Diceros bicornis minor: one gene and its partners. Each later gene encodes a partner of the first gene's protein in a complex. Links are inferred from orthologs where the notes say so. Each region holds a gene or a part of one and is shown on either strand. Other genes may lie near its edges.

Region 1 (7,852 bases):
AGAAGCGGTGGCCAGTGTGGCAGGGCCCCAATGAGGGAGGAGGAAGGTGGTATCGTTGCCTTCAGAAAGGGGGCAAGGCATGGCCCAGAATGGAGGTTTCTAGAGAGCCTGAGAGCTTGATGAGGGGGCAGAGTTGGGGGATTGGAAGTGCTCATCCTCAGGGGCCGTAGCCTGAAGGGCACTGATGGTAGGGGACGGCACCCACCCCAGAAGTAACAATACCAGCGTTTCGCAAGCACATGCTGTGCCAATCTCGGCTCTAAGTGAACAGACAGCTGAATACGTGCCCTCATGGAGCTTACATCCTGGTGGGGGTGGGTGGGGTGATGTGTTCTCTGGGCCAATGGTGAGGCATGGCTGCAACAGGCTGAGGTTTATTACAGGGAGTAGTACCTCAATATGCTCAGGAACTTGGTGGCTGGGACAACATGCCTGTCACTTCCACAGTCCCAGTAACCGCAGGCTGGAGGGTGGAGAGCGCTCCCTTTACACATTAGTATTCTCTGCTTTGGGGCCTATCCTGAGTTGGGAGACTGGCCCCACAAGGAAGCACTCAGGGAGTGACACCGCTCACTTCCAGGAAGGTTCATGTGGACATCGCACCCACCTTAGTCACATACAAATAGACTCAGGAGCTAGGGGTAGGGGCATCACCTCTGCTGGTGGGTCCAGCAGGGAGAAGGCAGAGATGCCAGGGGCATGAAGGGGAGCCCAGGCATCTGGATTTAACAGGGATCTAAGAGAGGCTCCCTGGAAAAAAAAAGACAGCCAGCCCCAGACCAAGTCCCTACTCCATCTGCCAGATCCAGATCCAGATCCAGATGCAGATCGAGAGAGAGGCTTAAAGAGTGAGCCCCGGATGCAAGCAAACAGCCTATTCCCAGAGAGAAGTGAGGGGGTGTGTGGGGAGAGACCTCCTGCTTGAGAGAAAGACACAGAAAGACAGAGAGGAGGGGGCAGAGAGAGAAACACACACGCGCACACACACACACAGGTGTGCATCTTGAGTTAGAGACCACCCAGATTTAGGGCAGAAGGAAAGAGAGGAGCATCCAGACTCACCAAGACACAGAGGCAGAAACCTCCAAGCCCAGAGAGAAACAGAAGTCAGGGAGGGAGACAAACACTCATCCTCAGCAATAGAAAGCCCTGCTCTGACCCACCACCCTCAATCCCTGGGCGCTCTGGCCTTTCTGCCAACGTAGGAGGTTCCAGTGTGGTAGCTTTTCCCTAAAGACGGCTGCTATTTCTTTTTTTTTTTTTTCATTAATAATTTTGTTTATTTTTTTTTTTGGTGAGGAAGATTGGCCTTGAGCTAACATCTGTTGCCTATCTTCCTCTTTTTGCTTGAAGAAGATTGTCCCTGAGCTAACATCTGTGCCAGTCTTCCTCTAGTTCTTTTGTACATGGGATGCTGCCACAGCGTGGCTTGATGAGCAGTGTGCAGGTCGGCACCTGGGATCCGACCCGTGAACCCCGGGCCGCTGAAGTGGAGCACATGAACTTAACCGCTACGCCACCGGGCTGGCCCCCGTCATCAATTTCTTCCTATATGCTACACCCCCATCCAGAAGAGCCCTGAACCACCATATAAAAAGCCCAAGCTATTCTGCTGGGGAGAGGGCCCTGTAGAAAACTGAAGGGCCAGACAAGTGAGTGAAGAAGCCATCTTGGACATCCAACCCAGTGGAGCCTTCAGATAACTCCGGCCCCAGCCACCATCTGACTGCAACCAGCCAAGACCCCAAGAAGAACCTAGCCAAGCCCAGTCAACCACAGGACCATGAAAGATAATACTAAATTGTTGTTTTAAGCCACTAAGTGTTAGGGTGTTTGTTGCACAGCAATAATCAGAAGACCCAGAAAAGGCTGCAGTGGCCCTTCTAAGGCCTGACACTCCCACTCCCACATCTCCCTCACAACAAAATCAACACCAGCCAGGTTTTCAATCTCTTTAATTAGGTGCTCTGAGGAGAGGGCAGAATGGTGGGCAGGGGCTGGAGAAGGTGGTGCTCCTTGAGCCCCACTAGGCAACCGGTCAGTCCTCATCCTCCGGCAGCTCGATCTTGCTGGGGTCAAAGCAGTTGGATTCCATGATGGGGAGGCCATTGGCTTCTCGGTATTTCACAAGCCTCTCAGCTTCCCGGCGGGCCCACTCCTGCATCCTGGAGGCAGCAGCGTGGGGCAGATGTGAGGGAGCCTCACTGGACACCAATCCCCATCTTAGCTCCCCATTCCCCAATGGTGCAGGAACAGGATTCCTGGCAGAGTCCCCTTCGATCTCTACCCCTGCCTCTGTTCCCACCCATCCCACTCTCTTGGATACCCCATGCACCTGTAGTCAGGCAGATAAGCCACAAAGGTGCTCCCAAGGACCAAGACAACAGAGAAGCCAAAGAAGAAGACAACCCGCATGTTCCAGAGGTCCACAGCAGGGTCCTTGTCATAACCGTGGGTGTCTGGGTTCTGTGGCAAGGAGAAGAAGAAGTCGATGAGGGCTTCTTGCTGCTCCACAAAGCCTTATGCTGGCCCTGCATAAGCTGGTCTCCAGTTTCATCTTGGACCAATCTCCCCTCCCTCCCTAAATTCCTCTCTTTCTATTCTTAGCACTTGTCAAGCTCCTTCCCACCACAGGGCCTTTGCACATGCTGTTTCCTCTGCCTGGAAAGCCTTTCCCCCAGATCTTGTCATGGCTGGATCTGTCGCCTCCATCAAAGTCTTGGCTTCATCATCACTTCCCTTAGGAGGCATTCCCTTCCTAGTCACATTGTTTATTAATTTGAACTACAGGAAACTGGTTTTCATAGGTTGAATAGGTCAAAATGGTTGAATATTGGCAATTTCCTATGGTTCAACCTAATAAAATAGCCCCCTACCCCCAAGTCACTCTCCGTGGACTTATCCTGCTTCATTTTCTTTCTAGCATTTATTAGTTTACCAAAGAAGCATCCCCTCAGATCCTGTATCATATTAACCTTATATTATTATCAATTACATACTCTATGTTACTGTTGCCAAATATTGTACTTGTTTATTTTCTGTGTTCTCCACTATAATATAAGCTATGAGAGCAAGGGCTTTATCTGATTTCCACACTGTTGAACCCCTAGGGCCCCGAACTGCACCTGGCATATACAGGCCCTCCATACTATTTACGGAATGAATGAACAAGTGAACAAGCATCCTGTACGTCCAAGCTCCTCCAGCAGAAGTTAGTATTGATGAAATACCTATTATGTGCCAGGCCTTTCACATACGCAAACTTCACAATATCTCAGTGAGGTGGAAAGTGGCAACAATAATTAACACCTTCTAATGCTGAGTACTTACTAAGTGCCAATGCTGAGCATTTTGACTCATTTAATTACATGAGGTGGTGTAATATTTTATTTTTTAGAAGCTGTCCTAATACTTTCCCCATTTTATAAAGAAACTGAGGCACCAAGAGGGTAAGCTACTTGTCCAAGTCACATAGGTGAGCAACTGTCAGTGCCTGTTTTCCAACCTAGGCCTTCTGATTTCAGAGGCTCTGCTATCAATACAGCACAGCAGACCTGGTTCCGCCACACATTCAGTTATGTGAGCTTAGGCAAGTCACTTAACATCTTTATGCTTCAGTTTTCTCATCTGTAGAATGAGTATACCAATAGCACCTACTTCGAAATAAGGTTGTTTTGAGGATTAGAAAGTTAACGTAAGTAAAGCGTTTAGAACACAGGCACTGAGCAAGCTCCATATCAATGTTTAGTATTATTGTCGTTACGCTATATTGCTTCTAATGTGTTTTGAGCACTGCCCACTTCAAGTTTGACATCTGTCTGCAAAATAAGGCCAATCTCGCCTCTGGCCCTGAACTGAAGATTATCAGGGGACAAAAGAGGAAAACAAGGTAGGCAAAATTCCCAAGTCTTTGAGGATTTCGCCAGCTGCGCAATCCTCAGCCACCTAAGAACGTCCTCTACCGCTCCCCGTCCGCTGGCCCCTGATTGACCCTTCCGGCGTCCCCTTTCCTCTCCCTCTCACCTTCTCATAGAGGTTTTCGTCCTCGAGATCTGGGTCTTCCTGCCAGCGTATAGTGGGTTCCCGCGCCCGCTTTCCCGCCACAGCGGACGGGGCGATCACAGCCCTAGAGGAGCTTGAGTCCCAGCGAACACGGGCAGCCGGGAACCCTCGCGTCGCCGCTGCTGCCAAAAGGCGGCGAGCGCACAAACCCAACAGCCCGGCCGCCATGTCAGATTGTTCTGCAGGCTCTCAGGGGCGGGGACGGAAATGCAACTCTGCGCAGCTGCAGTTGGCCCGAGCGCGATAACTGTCGCTCCGCCCCGGCCGCACTAAATATGTCCCGAGTCTGGATTTCGTTTTCAAATGAGTGAGGCGCTAAGTAGCCCTCTTTCCCTCCCTCTGTCATGGCTTCATGGTAGCAACCATTTTCTTATCCTCTCAGTCAGGCTGTGGAATTTCGGACTGAGAGGTCTGCTCATTTCCTTGCTGAGAAGAAAGCGGTGACATTTGGGTGGATTCAGTTCCCAGCCAATCGCAGAGACATTTCCCTTGCCCTCTGGGGAAAGGGGCGGGGCTTCCGCTTGTCTTTCATCTTCTAAGGAAGCCAAGCTTCTAAAAAGCGGGCCTTGCCGGATTGGCCAATAGCTGCTCCTTTTCTCGACTTCGGGCGTTCGCACCGGGAGTGGGGAGGTGGCAGACGCTTGCCAATCAGAGCAGGAAGGGGCTGGCCGACGGCGGACGGCGACCAATAGATGAGGCCGGCCAGAGCGCGCTCCCTTAGTAGGTGGATGGTGGTCGAAGCGCCGGCTCGCTTCTCGTCGTCGCCATTTTGTGCTGGTGATCGCGGCCGGCTGGGAGTTGGCGGCAGTGGGTTTCCCGGGGAGGGTAGCGCTCTTGGCGCTTCTCCCCTCCCCCCTCCTCCGCCCTTCCGCCTCCAGCCTCGAACTTGGCTGTTGCCCGGACCGGCTCCGGCTGAGCTGAGAGAGTTGGAGGAGGTGGCGGCGGGCCGAGGTGATGTCTGGGAGCCCTCCCTTGACAGCCCGGGCCGAGAAGGTGAGCGTCGACGCTGGTCGTGGGGGCGGAGGTAAGGGGCCGGGGGCGGGGGTGGGTGTAGAGGAGGTGGGAGGGCGGACTGCGGGCCCGGGCCTGGGCTACGCGTGGAACCGAGGGATGCATGCACAGTCTGAGCCCGGGAGGGGGTCTTTTTTTTTTTTCCTTTTGGGAGCAGAGGCGCGTGCGCGATCGGGACACAGGAAGGGTGCACGCGGGTTGGGGGAAGGGAGGGACGGATGGGAGTGGGCCGCTGTGGTTTACGCCGCGACACCGAACTTTATCCGTGGGGAAGCGGGTGTCTGCGACTTTGCTTTTTATCCATAGGAGAGGGGGTGTGCAGTCTGTTCTGTGTGACTTTGGTACTTATCTATCCATGGGGAAGTGTTTTGTGGCTCTGGTCCTTATTCTTGGGTGGGGGAGGAGGGAGAACGTCTGTATGACTCTAGTCTTTATCCTTGTGTCTGTAACTCTGGTCCTTATCCACGGGGAGGAGTCCTTAACCATAGGGAGTCTTCTTACGACTGGCCCTAACCCACCTACTGGGTGGGGAGGGAGTGCAAGGAATGTATGTATGACTTACTGCCCCTTCTTTTGGGGGGTTGTATCTTTGACTCTGACACTCATCCATTGAAAGAGGGTCTCAGTGTATGATTATGGCCCGGATTTATTGTGGGTTCCTGTCTGTGATTTGGGGCCGCGGTTATTCCGGGCCTGTGTATGTGACTTTGGTCCCTATCTGTTGTGGATAGCAATGTGTGACTCTGGCCCCTTTGCCGGAGTCTACTGAGGGTTTTGTATCTGGCTCTCATCCACTGGGGCCCCTGGTTGTGATTCTAACTTTTTCCCATCTGGGAGCAGGTAACTTTGGTTCCCTGTGGCTTGAGGAGGAAGAGAAAATTCGTGTGTGTGTGTGTGTGTGTGTGTGTGTGTGTTGTACATGGAGGAAAGGTGTGGTGGCAACCTAGTGTTGGGCAGGTGCTGTTACTGCCTGGATTTGCCTGATTCTTGTTCAGAGGGCGGGGCCTGAAGATTCTGGGATATTTCGTGATGACCCTGGGCGGGTCACGTGGCTCTCAGGACTTCCTAGTTCTCACCGCAGCCCTCAGGGTTGGGTGAAGTGACTGCCCTTCCATCCTAGCAGAATAGCACAGTGGTTTGGAACAGCCTCCGAAAGGACTCCTTTTTCCTCTGAATAACTTGGGCTTAGAGCCCCGGGGAGAGAGCCGCCTTGGGACCTGGCTGCACATAAGAGACGGGGCTCAGGGCTGAGCCAGTTGCCGCGTGAGGGCCAAAGCTGTGTTGGCCAGGAGCCCAGGGAGGCAGCAGCTATCTTGTTGCCAAGTTAGCCCCTTCACCCACTAAGCCTTGCAGCTATCTTGTTGCCAAGTTAGCCCCTTCACCCACTAAGCCTTTCATGCTCTCCCACCGTCTTGTAAGGGGCAGCCAGCATCTTGTTGGGAGGATGAAATACCTGAGGGCCCATGGAAGGAGCCTGGAGACTGGGACTCCCGTTGTGAAGTCTTGCCTGCATGACTAATGTGCCTGATCTCGGACAAATCATGCAGCACCAAGAGCCCCCCCGGGGGGCAGGTAGCTCCGGGCTTGAACTCATCTACCAGTCTCAAACAGCAAAGCCCTGGTCACAGAATGGGTGGCACCATGAAGTCTGTTCCCTCTCTGCTGAAGACCTTGCTGTTTCTAGGGTAGTGAGCTCTAGCCTCACATTTGTGGGGAAAGGAAGGAGCAGGTCAAGTAGGGGCTGCCTTCCCAATCTGGTCCACAGGAGCACTAGGAGTTGGAAAACAACATCCCTGGGCTAAAGGACAGTAGAGAGCCTTGACAACGAGGGTTTCTCAAGGAGGCCCTCTCTGCCCCAACTGCCTTGACCCCTTTCTTCCTTCTATTCTCCCCAGAGTCCCTGCAGGAGACATCACCCAGGCTGGCAGATCATGGTGGCAGCAGCGGGGGCAGCTGGGAAGTGAAACGGAGCCAGCGGCTGAGGAGGGGCCCCAACAGTCCCCGCAGGCCCTATCAGGACATGGAGTATGAAAGACGGTGAGTTACCCGCTCCCACCACTACCAAGCTTGTCCCCATGTGAGAATTGATCCAAGAAGGTGCTAGGAGGGGGCTTCCAGGCAGAGGAAACAGCACAGCAGATGATTGGTGTTTTCTCAGCAGACATTTATTTGGCATCTGTTGTGAGCCAGGAGCTGTGCTAGGCTCTGGGAGTGCAGTGGTGAATGAGATCGATAAGACTGCAGCCTTCTTACTCAGGGTCTCACAAGGGAGACCACACAGTTTCCAGGTGGTTCAAAACAGCTTGACGGGTGCCATGGTGCCGTGGTTGGTTGTGAGGGTGGGAATGGATCAAGAGAAAGGGAGGAATGGAGGCTAGTACCCAGGTTTCCAGTTAGGTTGACCCAGAGAGGTGTGTGGTGCCATTCACCAAGGTGTGGACAGCCACTGCAGGAGGACAGGCAGAGGTGGAGGGCAGATGGGTGGGGGGTTGTAAGTGCCCGTGGATTCTCAGGGGAGAGCTGTGGGCTGTAGCTTTGGGTTTGAGGGGTAGATGGGACTGGTGCCTTCAGAGTCAGGAATTTGTCCAAGACAAGTGTGGGGCAAGCCAGGTCAGATAGCGGGAGACTTCAGGGACAGGGTGGGCTGAAGTTGGTATGATACTTCTCTTGGAAAGGACACTCTCGTACAGTTATTTTTAAACTCTGGTACAAATGAGAAACAGTTGGGACACTTGGTAAAATACAGAGATCCTGGGCCATACCCTCACTATGCTGGTGG
Region 2 (7,983 bases), on another chromosome or scaffold:
TTGCACATTCAGTCTGTTGCCAATTCTGTTGCTTCTCAAACCTTTTTCAAATCAGTCCTTCCACCGTATCCACACTACCTCTGAGGTCCTGCAGTTTCAGACCTTATCATTTTCCTGGGTAAGTGTACATGAGATAAAGCTCACAAGCCATCCACCTTCTCTCTTCTATCTTTTTCTACTTATCTCCATCTGGCATACATAAAAAGTTCTATGAGAGCCAGGACTCAGTTTTGACAACTGTTACATACCCAGGGCTTGGTATATAAAAGGTGCTTAATCAATATTCGTTGAATGAACAACTGAATGACGTAGGTGGGGCATGGATCATACAGGTCTCTAAAAGTTAAGGAATGAAGATTTTATCATAAAGCCAAGTGGGGATTAAAGGGAATAACATGATCAGATCTGGATGTAAGAAAGACTGCTCTAACTTCAGGAAAGAACCGAAGGGGGCTTAAGAGACAAGGAGCAGTTAAGAGGGAGTGATCTCATAAATACCAGAGAGAGGTGACAGTAACAGACCTAGCGAACAGACAGTGTGACTAGGAAGTGAATACATTTGAGAGGATACTTAGAATCAACAGACCCTTAATAAGTGATAGGCTAGAAGGAGTGGAAGAAGAGAGTAAAGAAAAGGGATAAAGTCTAGGTCTGTGCCTTGGGCGAGTGGGTGGATGGTGCCATTCATTCAACTAGGGAACTTGGAGAGGCAGGTTTGGTGGGGAAAGTTCATAAGCTGAGATTGAAGTGCCTGTGGAACATCCAAGGGCAGACAGATTTCAGAGAAGTGGATAAACGGATCTGAACCTCAGGAGAAAATTTGGGTTGGTGACAGATTTGGCAAACATCAGCATGTTATTAGGTGGAACTTAGAAAACTGCCATTTTTGTAGGTCAAAAATTGGCAAAATTTCATATGGTCCAACCTAAGAGATAGAAATTTAAGTCTTCTGGATGACCTCACCAGGGACTGTGTGGTTAGTGAGAAGTCTTATGATAAAACCCCTAGAAACACTATGATTTAAAGGACAAGCAGAAGAAAAGGAGGACAAGAAGGAATGGTAAAAGCAGAAGGGAAACCAAGAAGTGTCAATGCCATCTTCTAACTCTGGTACCGAGCACTTAGCAAGTACTTAAAAGTGTGTTTTCAATTAATCTTCAAGGGTTCCACAGATGTTATCATCAGCTGTAACTACACACTGCAGGGTGCATCATTCACACTAAATTCCGTATGATCAGAGCCCCAACACCAGGGAGCACCATTCACCAGAATATAATGTTATTGGTGCCCCTCGGAGTTGTGTAAAGCAATGGCTCTGACCATCAGGAACCAATAACCTTTGTTTTCCTGCTTGCATGAGACTAGGGAGGTCACAGGTGCCACCAGTAGACCTAAGGCTCAATCAAGACAGCAAGAGAAAGGAAAGAAAAAGAGGAAAGGGAGAAAAATTAAACACAATCAGAAGAATAAAGAAGAACCCGTGGAAAAAGGGTAGAGCCAATGCTCTCAGATGATCTTTAGTGTTTCCAAGCCCAACTCATTTCTCTAGAAGCATCCTTGCCCACTCATCTCATAGCCCTGTTGTGACAAGTAAATTAAATCATGCATGCAAAGCCCCTGGTCAAGATTAACTCCTCTACACAAATGTGAACGATGACTGTTATTAAAGGCTTCTACTCATCTGTATGACTTTGGACTGCTTTGCCTCAAGATTTGGGGGAGAACGACTATATGAATTTAATTACTCCTCACATTTTTATAGTGCTTTAGAGCTCAGGAGAACTTGAAACCCACTATCTTAGTCCCTCCTGGGCAGGGTTAGTGCTCTTCTCCCACAATTTACAGAGGCCCTAATATTAGGTGGGACCATATGAAACTGACATTTTATAGGTCAAAAATGGTCTAAGATTGGCAATTTCACATGGTTCAACCTAACAGACTTCTAATGAAGTTGTTCATAGTTACAAGCAACAGCTGACGGAGTTTAGAACTGAGGTCTTCTTATTCCTGACCAGTCTAGGCCTCTTCCATTACTAAAAGGAGACTCTGGAAGCACATTTCAAAATGGTATCAATTTCTTACTCGAAAGGCAAGCAACGGGCTAGATCTCTCAAGCTGGAGGTTACAGTGTAAAACCACATTGGCCTGCTCTGCAGGAATAGCTATTAAATACACTGTGACCCCTCAATGAGTCCTCACAATACCATCTCTGAGGGTAACGGGATGGTAAGGAACACACTGACGGAGCACCTACCGTATGCTAAGGCACATCCCATAATTATTTCATTGGATCCTCACAGTAACAGTCTGAAGTACGTATCTTGATTGTCAGTGTACACATGAGCTGTCTGAGGCTCAGACCAGTTAAACGTCTGGCCCAAGGTCACACTGCTGGTTACCGGCAGGGCCAGCCAATGCAGGAGAAGCCAGAGCCGTCCAACTCTAAAGCCCGCCCCCTCTCCTTGAAGTCGAGCTGCCTCCCAGGAAGTTTTTCACAACTATCCCCATGTGGAAGAGGAAAGCTGTGCCAGGAGGGATGAAACGACACGCCCAAGGTCACACGGCTTGCAGGCGACGGCACAAGGATCCCCGGGCTCAGGCCCAGTCCAGAAGCCGCCCTCGTTCTAGTTACTGTCGGAGGGGGCGAGGGGGCGAATGCTGGGGTGGAGGTAACGGAAAAAGGAATCTAATCGCTGGATGGGGCGCACAGCCGGGCCAGGTCGGCGCCCTCACACATCCAGCGAAAGGTGAAGGAGCCCTCCGGCACCAGCCCGGTCCCGCCGCCGGGCTCAGGAGCGGCCGGCAGGCGGATGGGCGCGGCGCTCCCCGGCCGCCGGAGACCCCGGCCCAGGGGACGGTCTCCCGCTCCCCCGTCCCCGGCCGGGCCCGAGGCCCTCCCAGGATACTCTAATCGCTTCCCCGCCCTCCCCGTCCCTGAGAGACCCGGTCTCTACGCCTCACCCGGGCTGTGCCGCCGCCGGCACCACGTCCCCTTCAACATCCACATCCGCCTCTTCAGCCGCCATGATGGGACCTGACCGCATCCGGCATCCCGAGAGATCCCGCGAGAGGCGGAGGGCCTAGGGGCGGGGCCGACGCGTCACGGGGCGGAGTCGCAGCCTCGTCCAGCCCCTCCCGTGGCGGGGAGGCGGGGCTTCCAGAGAAAAGCAGCCCGCTGCAGCCCAGGCGCGGTCTTTCTGACTTTAGTGACGCGCGAAGACCTTGGGAAGTGGCTTAGGCTTGGGCTTTGAAGAGACCATGCGCTTGCACAAATTCTCTGGCGCCTCACTTCTTTCATTTGTAAGATGGGGATAATAGTAGATATCTTTCTGGAGTGCAGGAAAGGGCACGCCAGACCTGCTTTGAACCGTAAGGTGGCAACAATGAAGGACCCTTACCTGCTTCTTTTCTTTTTTTTTTTAAGAAAAGGATCGTTCGGCACTTATGTGAAGCGGTGAACAACTTTTATTTTAAAATTAAGCAAACATTTAAGAATATAATTTATGATTGCATGTTTTATTTTGTGGAAATCTTTATAATTAACGAAAAAATTACTTTCGTCTCGTCACCATTGATCTTTGCAATAACCCAGTGAGGTAGGCAGGACTGGTGTCATCAGTCACACAGATGAGGAAACTGAGGCTCAGAAAGCTGAAATGACTATGAGAGGATACACAGCTATTCAAAGACAGGGCTGGGACCACAATCCAGCTCTCTTGACTCTTTACTGAGTGCTCACCCTCTACAAATCGTGTTGTTAGGAACTATGACAGATAAACACCATGTTTCTCAAAGAATTTATGGCCCCTCAAGAAATTAGATATTGGCCTTATGTATTCTTCTACCTTAGTATCTATCACTCACATTATTGTAACTGTTCATTCGCTTGTCTGCCTCCACCACTGGACTGTGAATTCTCTCAAGACAAAGGCTGTATCTGCTAGTCTTTATACTACCAACATTCAGCATGGTGTCTGATACATAGTAGGTGCTCAATAAATATCAAACTGATGAACGAATGAACCAATAAATCAATGAAATGAGTTCACTTCCCACACTATTCTGGATTTGTCCCATCTCACCTTTGCTTGTGCTCAGGGCATAAGATGAGCTGTACTGTGAATGTGATGGCAGAAGGTAGGTAGAAAGATTTGTAAAGAGGGAGATCCAGTGCTCAGAAACTGGATAGTGCCCTAGCCTTAGGCCACCGTGGGAATGCTGTTCCTGTTGTCAAATGGCTTATCCAATGATCAGTCCCAATGGTAACTGGCATACCTGGCACAGAGTAGGCATTCTAAGATGTTTGATGAATTTAATTTAGAGCAAGGTTAGAAAGATGTACATGGCCAGATAGTCAAAAGAAATGTCAAATACACATGCTTTTAATTGATCTTTACGTAGCAGGCTGAGATGGGAACCCTAGCAGGACAATCTGGATACACATGATATCAAATGTCTCCTAGACCATAAAACAGAATACCATGTGAACAGCATCTCCTGCAATGCAGCACTGGAGGTCTTCTGGCCCAGTGCCAGACATCAATAGGCATTAAAATATATGTGGAAGAAAGGAAAGGCCTGCACAGAATTCAAGTATACCCCCAAGGTCTTTAGATGAAGAGGCCTCCCTAAACAGGGAGACTAGTCTGAAGCCTTCCCATACATACCCCACACCATGCTCCTGGTTAGTTAGCTTTGTGTGAAATAGGTTCATAAGTGTCTAAGCCCAACTCCACCTGCCAGGATAGGGCTATAACCTCACAGTCAGGTGAACTCTTGACTGAGGCCTGGCTACTATTTAAAATTCTCTTTTCTAGAGGTCTGCAACTCTGTGACTTGTTTAAAGACCCATTTTCTCACCAAGTAGTTTGAAAGCAGGATGAAGAATTCAGAATTCATATTTCACAAATACTTTTTGTACTCCTACTGTGCTTGATACTGGGGAAATGGCATTGAACAAGATGGACTCAGTCTCTGCTCTCGTAAAGTCTATCAAACATGCAATTTCAAGATGATATAATAAGTTCTATGATGGAGGAGTTACAGGCTGCTGGGGGGGTCACAGAGGACGGACACTTATCTCAGAATCAACCCTTTGCTGTACCACATTTTTGAGGAGGTTATTGATCAGTCAAAATTTGAGAGTAATGTTCTAGACTCGGGAATGCAAGATAGAAGACTCTGTTCCTAACTTAGAGAAAGAACAAATGGAAAAAGATTAGCAGGAATAGTGCCTGGTACTTATACAGAGCTAGGAATAGTGCCTATTCCCACTGACCAGACTGGAAAACCTCATGATTCGTGAAGCACTGGGTAGATAACTCGGAATAGTATTGCCTAAGTCATGGAGAATAATAAGCTCTGGGTGGAGCACTGCTCTGGTACTGCCTAACAAATCTTCAAGACAAGATCTGAAAGGATCAAACTGTTTCCAGGTAAATGTAACTGTGCCCTCCCTCCCCAAAAAATCTCAAGAATATTTGTAGGAATACAAAAATTCCCAGCACCCAACAGAACAAATTTCAAAATATCTGGCATCCAATTACCAGGCATGCAAAGAAGTAGGAAAATATGACCCATAATAAGGAAAAAAAGTCAATCAATTGAAACCCATCCAGTACTGACACAGATGTTAGAATTAGCATACTAAGACATTAAAACAGTTATTTTAACTATATTCCATATGTTCAGAAAGTAGAGACATGGAAAATACAAAAAGGAATGAAATTGAATTTCTAGAGATAAAAACTACAATGCCTGAGAAGAAAAATATACTGGATGAGACTAGTGGCAAAGTAGACATTGCAAAGGAAAGTATTGGTGAACCTGAGCACATAATAAAAGAACTATCTAAAATGAAACACACTAAGAAATAAAAAGGTTAAGAAGTGTACAGAAAATCAGTGAGGACAACTTCAAGCCTCCTAATATATGCGTAATGGGAGTCTCTGAAAAGTGAAGGGTGGGAGGTCAGGAAAAATATTAGAAGAAATAATGATTGAAAATTTTTCCAAATTTGAAGAAAACTGTAAACTTACAGATCCAAGAAACTCAAGGAACCCCGGGCAGAAGAAACATAAGGAAAACTACACCAAACCACACTGTAATCAAATTGCTCAAAACCAGTGATAAAGAGGAAAACTTTCCAGAGAATAAAGGCATGTTACCTACAGTGGGAAGATAAGAATGACAACAAACTTATTGTTGGAAACACTGGAGGTAAGAAGATGGTGAGTCAATATCTTTAAATTACTGAAAGGAAAAAAGTCAGACAACTTAGAGAACTGTACACCTACCAAAATATCTTTCAAAAATGAAGGCAAAGTTAAGCCTTTCTAAGACACAAAATCTGAAAGAACTCGTCATCCTATCTTTACAACAAGAAATGTTAAAGGACATCCTTCAGGCAGAAAGAAATGATAGATGAAAATCCTGATCTGCATAAAAGGAGGAAGAATGCAGGGAATAGAAACTACAGTCACATGCCACATAACAACGTTTCAGTCAAGGATGGACTGCATATACGACGGTGGTTGCATAAGATGAGTACCATATAGGCCGGGTGTGCAGTAGGCTATAGGATCTAGGTTTGTGTAAGTACACTCTGTGATGTGTGCACAAGAACGAAATCACCTAATGGAGCATTTCTTAGAACGTATCCCCCTCGTTAAGCAATGCATGACTGTACATGGTAAATATATAAGATTTTTTCTTAGAGTTTAAATCTCTTTAAAAGAGAGTTGACTGTTTAAACAAAAATAATAACAATGTAGTGTGAGATTTATAACATATGTATAATTAAAGTATATGACAACAATAATATAAAGTCTGATGAGAAATGCAAGTATATTATGTAAGGTTATTATATGAAGTGGTATAATATCACTTGAATATGTTATCACTGTGATATACTACAGATGTATTGTATAAACCCTAAAGTAATCACTACAATAACAAAACAAAGTTGGCTTGAAATGTGGACAAACAAAAAAACAAAATAAAATCTTCTCTCATTTATGCCTTATGTTTCCTATGGGCACTAAGCTAATTATTGAGAATTCCCTTCTCTCCACATCCTCTCCAGCACTTGTTGTTTTTGTCTTGATAATTATAGCCATTCTGACGAGAGTGAGGTGATATCTCATTGTAGATTTGATTTGCATTTCCCTGATAGTTAATGATGTTGAACATCTTTTCGTGTGCCTGTTGGCCATCTGTATATCTTCTTTGGGGAAATATCTGTTCAGGTCTTTTGCCCTGTTGAGGTGTATGAGTTCTTTATATATTTTGGAGATTAATCCCTTATCAGATATATGATTTGCAAATATCTTCTCCCAAATGTTGGGTTGTCTTTTCATTTTATTGATGGTTTCCTTTGCTGTGCAGAAGCTTTTTAGTTTGATATAGTCCTATTTGTTTATTTTTTCTATTGTTTCCCTTGCCTGGTCATACATGGTGCTTGAAAATATTTTGCTAAGACTGATGTTGAAGAGCATAGTCCCTATGTTTTCTTCTAGAAGTTTCATGGTTTCAGGTCTTACATTCAAGTCTTTAATCCATTTTGAGTTAATTTTTGTGTATGGTGTAAGATAATGGTCTACTTTCATTATTTGGCATGTGGCTGACCAGTTTTCCCAACACCATTTATTGAAGAGACTTTCCTTTCTCCATTGTATGTTCTTGGCTCCCTTGTTGAAAATTAGCTGTCCATAGATGTGTGGGTTTATTTCTGGGCTCTCGATTCTGTTCCATTGATCTGTGTGTCTGTTTTTGTGCCAGTACCATGCTGTTTTGATTACTATAGCTTTGTAGTACATTTTGAAATCAGAGAGTGTGATACCTCCAGCTTTGTTCTTTTTTCTCAGGATTCCTTTGGCTATTTGGGGTCTTTTGTTTTTCCATATAAGTTTTAGGATTCTTTGTTCTATTTCTGTGAAAAATGTTGTTGGAACTTTGATAGGGATTGTGTTGAATCTATAGATT
Region 3 (7,676 bases), on another chromosome or scaffold:
TCAAACAAAACTGGGCAGTTATTAACCTGGGATAGACAAAAAGTAAGAAAGGAAACATAATCTCACTAGACTGAAATGCTCAGCTGTGAATAGGCATAATAACCTAAATACAGATTTTTGATTTAACAAAAATTGTATTATTGAGTGCATGGGGAAAGTAAAGCAGAGGGGATGGTAAAGTTTGAGAACTAAATCCTCATCTTTCGTAACAGGAAGTGAATAAATAAAGTTTAAAATTGATTAATCAAAGAGTAGCAGTATATACAAATTCCTTACAAAAATGGAAATGAGTAAATCCTAGAAAAAAAGCTAAAATGAATTGAAAGTAATTGTTTCTGGAGTGGAGGTCTGGAGGGTTTGGGACAGAATGAGGCAGGGAAATATCGGGGTTTTTTTTTTCCCATGATGGATTTATTTTATTTTTAGAAATGGATATGGTACACTTCCTTGTAATTTGCTTTTTTTTTTTTTTACTTTTTAAAAATTTTTTTGAGGTCATAATGGTTTATAATGTTGTGAACTTTCAGGTGTACATTATTATTTATCAGTTTCTGTATAGACTGCATCATGCTCACCACCAATAGTCTAATTTTTAGCTGTCACCATATATATGTGCCCTTTTGCCCACCCTCCAACCCCCTTCCTCTCGGGTAACCACTAATCTGTTCTCTTTGTTCATGTCTTTATCTTCCACACATGAGTGAAATCATGCGGTGTTTGTCTTTCTCTGTCTGGCTTATTTCGCTTAACATAATACCCTCAAGTTCCATCCATGTTGTTGCCAAGGGGACGATTTTGTCTTTTTTATGGCTGAGTAGTATTCCATTGTGTATGTATATGTATATATATATATATACATATATATATGTTGTTGTCTTTTCATTTTGCTCCTGGTTTCCTTTGCCTTGCAGAAGCTCTTTAGTCTGATGTAGTCCCATTTGTTTATTTTTTCTTTTGTTTCCCTTGCCTGAGTAGACATGGTATTTGAAAAGACGCTGGTAAGACCAATGTCAAAGAGTGTACTGCTTCTATTTTCTTCCAGGAGTTTTATGGTTTCACATCTTACCTTCAAGTCTTTAATCCATTTTGAATTAGTTTTTGTGTATGGTATAAGATAATGGTCTACTTTTATTCTTTTGCCTGTCGCTGTCCAGTTTTCCCAGCACCATTTATTGAAGAGACTTTCCTTTTTCCATTGTATCTTCTTGGCTCCTTTGTTGAAGATTAGCTGTCCATAGATGTGTGGTTTTATTTCTGGGCTTTCAATTCTGTTCCATTGATCTGTGTGTCTGTTTTTGTACCACTACCATGCTGTTTTGATTACTAGAGCTTTGTAGTACATTAGGAAATATCTTTTTTGTTGTTGTTATAAGCCCTTTACAACTATTTAACTTTTAAAATGATGTCCATGTTTTACTATTAGAAAAATAAAAATTAATTAAAAATAATTTATACGAGAAATACACACACTCTTGAAAGAGAAATGTCAGATCAAGCACATGGTCAACGATGTTGCATTGGTAGAATCCAGGTTAACTATTCTGAGAGTATTAAAAATAATTTCTAATCATGGGCAGACTTTCAAGAGAGAAGTGTTGATTAGCTTGAGTAGTTTGAGCTCTACAGGGGCGGTATAAAATAACATATCAGAGATAGCCACCTGCCTGGTGTAACAAAACTCTTACAAATGTCCGTAAGACCCTGGCCATCTCCACTAGACTTAGTCTTGAGGGCAGGAACTATAATTCACCCTATCTCTTCACTGCCTGGCCCATAGTAAGCACTCAATAAGGGTATGATGAAGTGGGTGCCGAAGCACTGAGCACATGAAAAAATTGGGTGAGGGGGATAGCAATTAACAACCTGGGATTTAGAATCAGCAAGATTCTGAGTTCCTTCTCTGTCACTTATTAGCTGTATGACTATAGACAGTATACTTATTTTGCCTGTCTATTGAGAAAATTGTGGGAAGAGAGAGTTGTTCTGAAGATTAAATGAGAGGATGTCCACAAAGCTTTTCATTGAGTCTGACACATGGTAGTCTTAGGTAAATGGTAGCTATAACTCTTATGAAATGGAGACTCCTGAATTTCTTGCATCAACCCAAATGATTGTTAATGTAAATACTATTTAGATATTTACTAACGAGAAGGAAAAGAAGAAGAAATTAGCATTTTTTGGCCTGCTATTTGCCAGGTACTTTATACACATTATTATTTTAATCCTTACAATAATAGTAATCATTGTTATCTCCATTTTACAAATAAGGAAACCAAGGTTGAGAGAGGTTAAGGAATTTCCTTCAGGTACTCTTATATTTATTTAGTGACTACTTTGTGTAAAGCTCTGTTCAAGACACTGGGAAAAAACATTGAGTAAGACAATCATAGTCGCTGATGAAACTTACATGCTGACAAGATAGACTACACTGACAATGTAATTACCGATTTTAGTAAGTGTTATGAAGGAAATAAACAGGGTCTTGAGACAGAAAATTATAGGAGCAATATGCTTTATGGGGTGGTCAGGAAAGCCCTTTTTAAAGAGAAAGTTGAGCTGAGATCTTAAGGATGAAAATGGGTAAGCCATGCAAAGAGCCAGACTGGATTTCTAGGCAGAGGGTATAGCACATACAAAGGCCTGGCTGCAGGAAAGAGCTTAGAAGCTCTGGATCATGGTAGTGAGCTATGTGGATAGCGGCTGGAGTTGATGTTGGTACGTACCTATAGGCAAAGGCCAGAACATGGGGGCCTTACAGGACATGGCAAAGAGTTTGAGTTTTATTCTAAGTACAATGAGAAGCTATTGTAAGGTTAAAAGTAGATGAAGGGCATGATCTCTTTCGTTTTTAAAAGATCCTTCCCTTTGATGAGTGAACGCAGTGAGGAAAGAAGAAAAGAGCAGAAGCAGAGAGACTGGTTAAGGAGGTTGTTAAGGACAGTTGTTCAAGGAAGAGATAAAAGAGAGTGGGACTAGAGTGGTGGGCAGAGGTGATAAAACCAGCAGGACTGCACTGGACACGGAGGACAGAGGAATCAAAGGTCTGGTTAGCGCCAAGTGTCTACAGGAGAAAGATTAGCATTCAGGTAAGGGGGATAAACAGTTCCATTTTGTTTGTTTTTTTGTGTGTGTGAGGAAGATCAGCCCTGAGCTTCCATGCTAATCCTCCTCTTTTTGCTGAGGAAGACAGGCTCTGAGCTAAAACATCTATTGCCAATCCTCCTCCTTTTTTTCCCCCCCCAAAGCCCCAGTAGATAGTTGTGTGTCATAGCTGCACATCCTTCTAGTTGCTGTATGTGGGACGCCGCCTCAGCATGGCCAGACAAGCGGTGCGTGGGTGCCCGCCCGGGATAGGAACCCTGGGCCGCCAGCAGCGGAGCCGCGCATTTAACCGCTAAGCCACCAGCCGGCCCCAACAGTTCCATTTTGGATAGGTCCATCTTGAGATGCTGGTGAGCCATCTAAGAGGCGATATCAGTAGACATCCTGCTATGCAGAATGGAGATGACCAGCAAATCTGAGCTGTAGATGTAGATGTTTCCTAGGGGCAAGGTAGGAGGTTAGTAAGTGGAGGAACACTAAGGGGGCCTGAGAGCTTTCCATTTGTCTGTTACTTAAAGAACTAAAATGATATCTAGGTTCCTGTGGGCTAAGTGTAGCCCAGAAGCGCAGCTCTCTGAGCAGACTACGGAATAGGCCCCTGATGTAGCATTTCCTGGACAGGCGACCCACACCCAAAGCAGCGGAGTCATCCGGCATACTGCCAAGACGCCCACAGTAAACCTACGGAAGCCGCAGGTCACTAAGTGCAGGCGCGACGCAGGGAGCGCTGCCTGCTGGGATTTGTAGGCCGACGGCGGCGGGCGTTTGCGCTACCTCCTTGAGACGCCTGCTGGATGCTGCGCTATGCAGATGGACGGCAGCGCGCTCTGAGCCTGCATCAGTCATTGCAGAACTGTTGTCCGAAAACGAAAATCTGATCTGGCTTTCTTGCTTGGAATCGTTTAGCGATGAGGAGCTCTCATCAGTTAAAGGATAAATTCAGTCTTAAAAATGACAATGTCCCTTTCATCACGATTTGGTACCCGTGGTAGCCTTATCTCTTAACACTTCCTAATCATTCTTCAAGACTATTGTGAACGCTGCCTCCGAGAAAGGGGCTCGCTTTTGACTTCTCTCCTCTGCTCCCATAGCACTCACTTACAACTCTAAAAATAATCATAATCATGACCAGCCTTCCTGAGCACTTACTACATGGTCTAGTCTAAGCTATTTACCCGCATTAGCTCATTAATTCTCACACAACCCTCTGAGACGTTTGCTATTACTTCCATCTTGCAGATGAGGAAATTTTATTTAGAGACGTTATGTAATTTGAGCAGGAACACGTTGAGGTCTCACAGTGTTTACTGCTGCATTCTCTCCCACGGGACTATGAGGTCCAGGCAGGCACCACCAGACCAGCATTTTACTCTCCCGCTGGCCACGCCCTGAGGGCGGGGCACCGGTGAGGACACTGCGTCCCATGGTGCCTTGCGCGCCCGCGCTGCAATTGGCCCGGCGAGTCGGCTCCTTGTTCAAATTAAGGCGCCGAGTCGTTGCTCGGTTTCTCGGGCTTCGGGCGGAGACGAGATTGGTGGTTCGAAGAAGAGATTGGTGACTCGGAGGCTCCGGCTGGTGCGAGACAGACGCCACGGCCAGTCAGAGCCCCGGGTAGAGAGCCGGGACGCCGAGCTCCCTGCGTCGGCTCCCCCGGCCACGCCACCACTCGCAGGGGAGGTGGGCATCCCGGCCCGCGCCGGCCGCCGAGCCCCTCCTCGCCATACCGCGCCCGAGTCCGCGGCCAGGCCTTGATTTTTTTGGCGGGGACCGTCATGGCGTCCCAGCCGAATTCGTCCGCGAAGAAGAAAGAGGAGAAGGGGAAGAACATTCAGGTGGTGGTGAGATGCAGGTAGGGCGAGCCTTGCAGGGTTCCGAGGGCCGGGCTTTGCTGCTGGGTTCCCTCTTGCGCGGTCCGAAGAGAGGGAGTTTGTTTGCAGTGTCTGAGGGTCCAAACCTTCCTGTTTCATACTTCTCCGCGTTCTCTTCGATAAAATGGCATCAGGTTGCTGTAAGGAGTAAATTAGTGTCTTTTTCAGAAGAAAAGATATTTGTATTGAAGGTCACAGTTTAAACTGCTATTCAGAAGGAGAATTTGATCGTCCTTCTTGAGTGACAAGTGCGTTGTTTTTTTAACTAATGTCAAAGATTTAGGTGTCACTTTTCTATGCTACTCCTTGCAGTTTGTCATTTTGGAAATAAGACTGCATGCCTACTTTGTAGATGTTTTAGCACTTATGTTGGGATTACTGTCCTCTCCATCATCTGTAAAAGCGTATTCAGTCACCTGTTCTCTTTATTCTAGATGTAGTATTTTCTTTATCGCTACTAAACATGTAAACATCACTGTATTTAAATTTTAAATATTAAGTTATAGAGTGAGTTTATGTTTTTAAAAGATCACGGAGACAACTTAAGCCAGTATAGTTATCTGATTGTGCTACAACTTAATATTAGACTAAAGGAGACAGCTTTTTCTGGGTGGGTGGGTGGAGGTGTTCAACTCTCCCCTGATTGATTTCCAAATAACTTCCCAATTTTGAAATGGGCTAGTAGAGGAAGAACATACTTGTTGTACAAGCTATTACTTAATTAGAGATTGACTTACTCAGCTTTTTAGAGGCCCTCCAGTTTACTGGTGTGTGTTTTGTGTCTATTTTTGTTACTGTTGTTTAAAAAACTCTACCAACTATCAGCAACTTTTCTGTAAAACTAAAAGTATTCTAAAATTAAAAGGTTATTTTAAAAATGTATCAACAAACTTTCTTAGGTTATTGCTAACTCAGATTCTGTGACTTGAATTGTAGGTAATAGCTAGCTTTCTAAACTAGGTACCAGAGAGGAAATTTGGTGGTAACCTTAAATCTAGCCAATTACCAGTTGCACTCAAGGGCTTCTGTTAATAGTTGCTTGTTTTGAAGATTTTAAAAAAATCAACAGCCCATATTACAAATGCAAATTTTTAGATTACTTTGATCGTTTAATAAAGCCAGGCAGTATTACCTTTCCGTGTGGTTTTATTTTCTTTAATTTCTTTTTTGTTATTAATTACAAAATATATCAGACCTATAAAAAGTAATCAAGAACGATGTAACAAACATCTGTGTATCCATCTCTCAGATTAGAAACAAAAAAGTCGTGACAGCTGGAGGCCCACTGTATTCCTCCCCATCCCTCTTCCACCTCCAAGAGTTAAACATTATCCTGAACTTCATGTTTATTATCCCCATACATTTCAAGCCTTGCTTTAGAAGAGATTTCTTTTACTTCATCTAACTTTAATAGAAAGCGCTTAGGTTGTGTCTAATATTTACAATAATTTTAGTATAAAGAGGTTTTTTTCCTTTTAAGGTTAGCCTTTTCTTTTTCAAATAGCCTTCCCAGTGCAAATATGTTCTTAAGCTTTAGTAAATAAACAACTTGTGAGGCCCTTTGGGGTTGTCAAACCTTTTCTGTAAAGGGCCCAGATAGTAAATATTTTAGGCTTTGCAAGCCACATATGGTCTCTGTCACATATTCTTGTTTAATTTTTTTTTTTCAGTTTTAAATTTTTAATTGGCACAGTTTATTGTAGCCCAAGAGGTCAGCAAGATTTCAAGAGAGGAGAGAGAACTTCATTACTTGATTACAATGAATACAATCTTTATGATGTTCTTTACTTGTTCAATAACTGTATGAAGAGAATTTTTTATTCTGTTATACACAGCTCAAGATAAATGTATAACTTCTGGAATGGAGGAACTGATGGAATGGAGAGAGAGATTTTAATAAGGAAATATGCTTTGATATATGTATATACCAAGACACACACCTATACACACAAATACACAAAACACCCCTCCCCTTTGTATACTGTACAGGTTGGCACAAGCCCTATTAAGATAATGTAAAAGTTTCTGGATTTAAGTTATTCTTGGCATTTTGATCTAGACAGGTGCTTAGGCAATTTAGGTCTTAACGTACCTGAATCATTCGTATATTTATCTATTTTGTGAGGAAGATCAGCCCTGAGCTAACATCCATGCCAATCCTCCTCTTTTTGCTGAGGAAGACCGGCCCTGAGCTAACATCTATTGCCTATCCTCCTCCTTTTTTTTGTCCCTTTTTTTTTTTTTTCTCCCCAAAGCCCCAGTAGATAGTTGTATGTGGTAGTTGCACATCCTGCTAGTTGCTGTATGTCGGATGCCACCTCAGGATGGCCAGAGAAGCGGTGCGTGGGTGTGCACCCGGGATCCGAACCCCGGGCCGCCAGCGCTCCCTTAACCGCTAAGCCACGGGGCCAGCCCCTCATTTGTATATTTAAAAGTACATAAGTGTGTTTTTAAAAAGGCCCAGACCAACTTTCCTTAAACAATAACCCAGTATGACACCATAGTTAGCAAATGGAAAACAGAATTGCTATTCTGTATTAAATCAGCAAAAGATATTTTAGAGAAAGGACAACTTGGAAAATAAAGACTTCAGAGTTCATTATTCGAGTTAAGAGCATTTTAGTTATTAGCAGTGGTTACCAAATAACCTGAAGGTAAATCTCTTCAAAATTTTGCTTATAATTTGCTTTGTTGAGGAGAGACTGT

What was found.
Region 2: RBM10 (region 1) and MYSM1 share a complex: the UniProt entries of both Homo sapiens proteins name them as parts of the large chromatin remodeling complex. The link is inferred for Diceros bicornis minor from reciprocal best matches to the Homo sapiens genes RBM10 and MYSM1.
Region 3: RBM10 (region 1) and KIF11 share a complex: the UniProt entries of both Homo sapiens proteins name them as parts of the large chromatin remodeling complex. The link is inferred for Diceros bicornis minor from reciprocal best matches to the Homo sapiens genes RBM10 and KIF11.

The regions. Positions count from the first base shown.
Region 1 is NC_080781.1:40,956,134-40,963,985, forward strand, and holds the start of RBM10 (RNA-binding protein 10), read left to right. Parts: upstream 1-4,775; 5' UTR 4,776-4,790; coding exon 4,791-5,055; coding exon of another isoform or gene 5,056-5,086; intron 5,087-6,968; coding exon 6,969-7,110; intron 7,111-7,852. Other genes in the region: NDUFB11 (NADH dehydrogenase [ubiquinone] 1 beta subcomplex subunit 11, mitochondrial), read right to left, coding at 2,039-2,165, 2,336-2,466, 4,024-4,230. UniProt on the Homo sapiens protein: Binds to ssRNA containing the consensus sequence 5'-AGGUAA-3'. May be involved in post-transcriptional processing, most probably in mRNA splicing. Binds to RNA homopolymers, with a preference for poly(G) and poly(U) and little for poly(A).
Region 2 is NC_080752.1:20,399,588-20,407,570, forward strand, and holds the start of MYSM1 (deubiquitinase MYSM1), read right to left. Parts: upstream 3,045-7,983; coding exon 2,962-3,044; intron 2,766-2,961; exon of another isoform or gene 2,272-2,765; coding exon of another isoform or gene 2,255-2,271; intron 1-2,254. UniProt on the Homo sapiens protein: Metalloprotease with deubiquitinase activity that plays important regulator roles in hematopoietic stem cell function, blood cell production and immune response.
Region 3 is NC_080745.1:58,334,363-58,342,038, forward strand, and holds the start of KIF11 (kinesin-like protein KIF11), read left to right. Parts: upstream 1-4,603; 5' UTR 4,604-4,874; coding exon 4,875-4,951; intron 4,952-7,676. UniProt on the Homo sapiens protein: Motor protein required for establishing a bipolar spindle and thus contributing to chromosome congression during mitosis. Required in non-mitotic cells for transport of secretory proteins from the Golgi complex to the cell surface.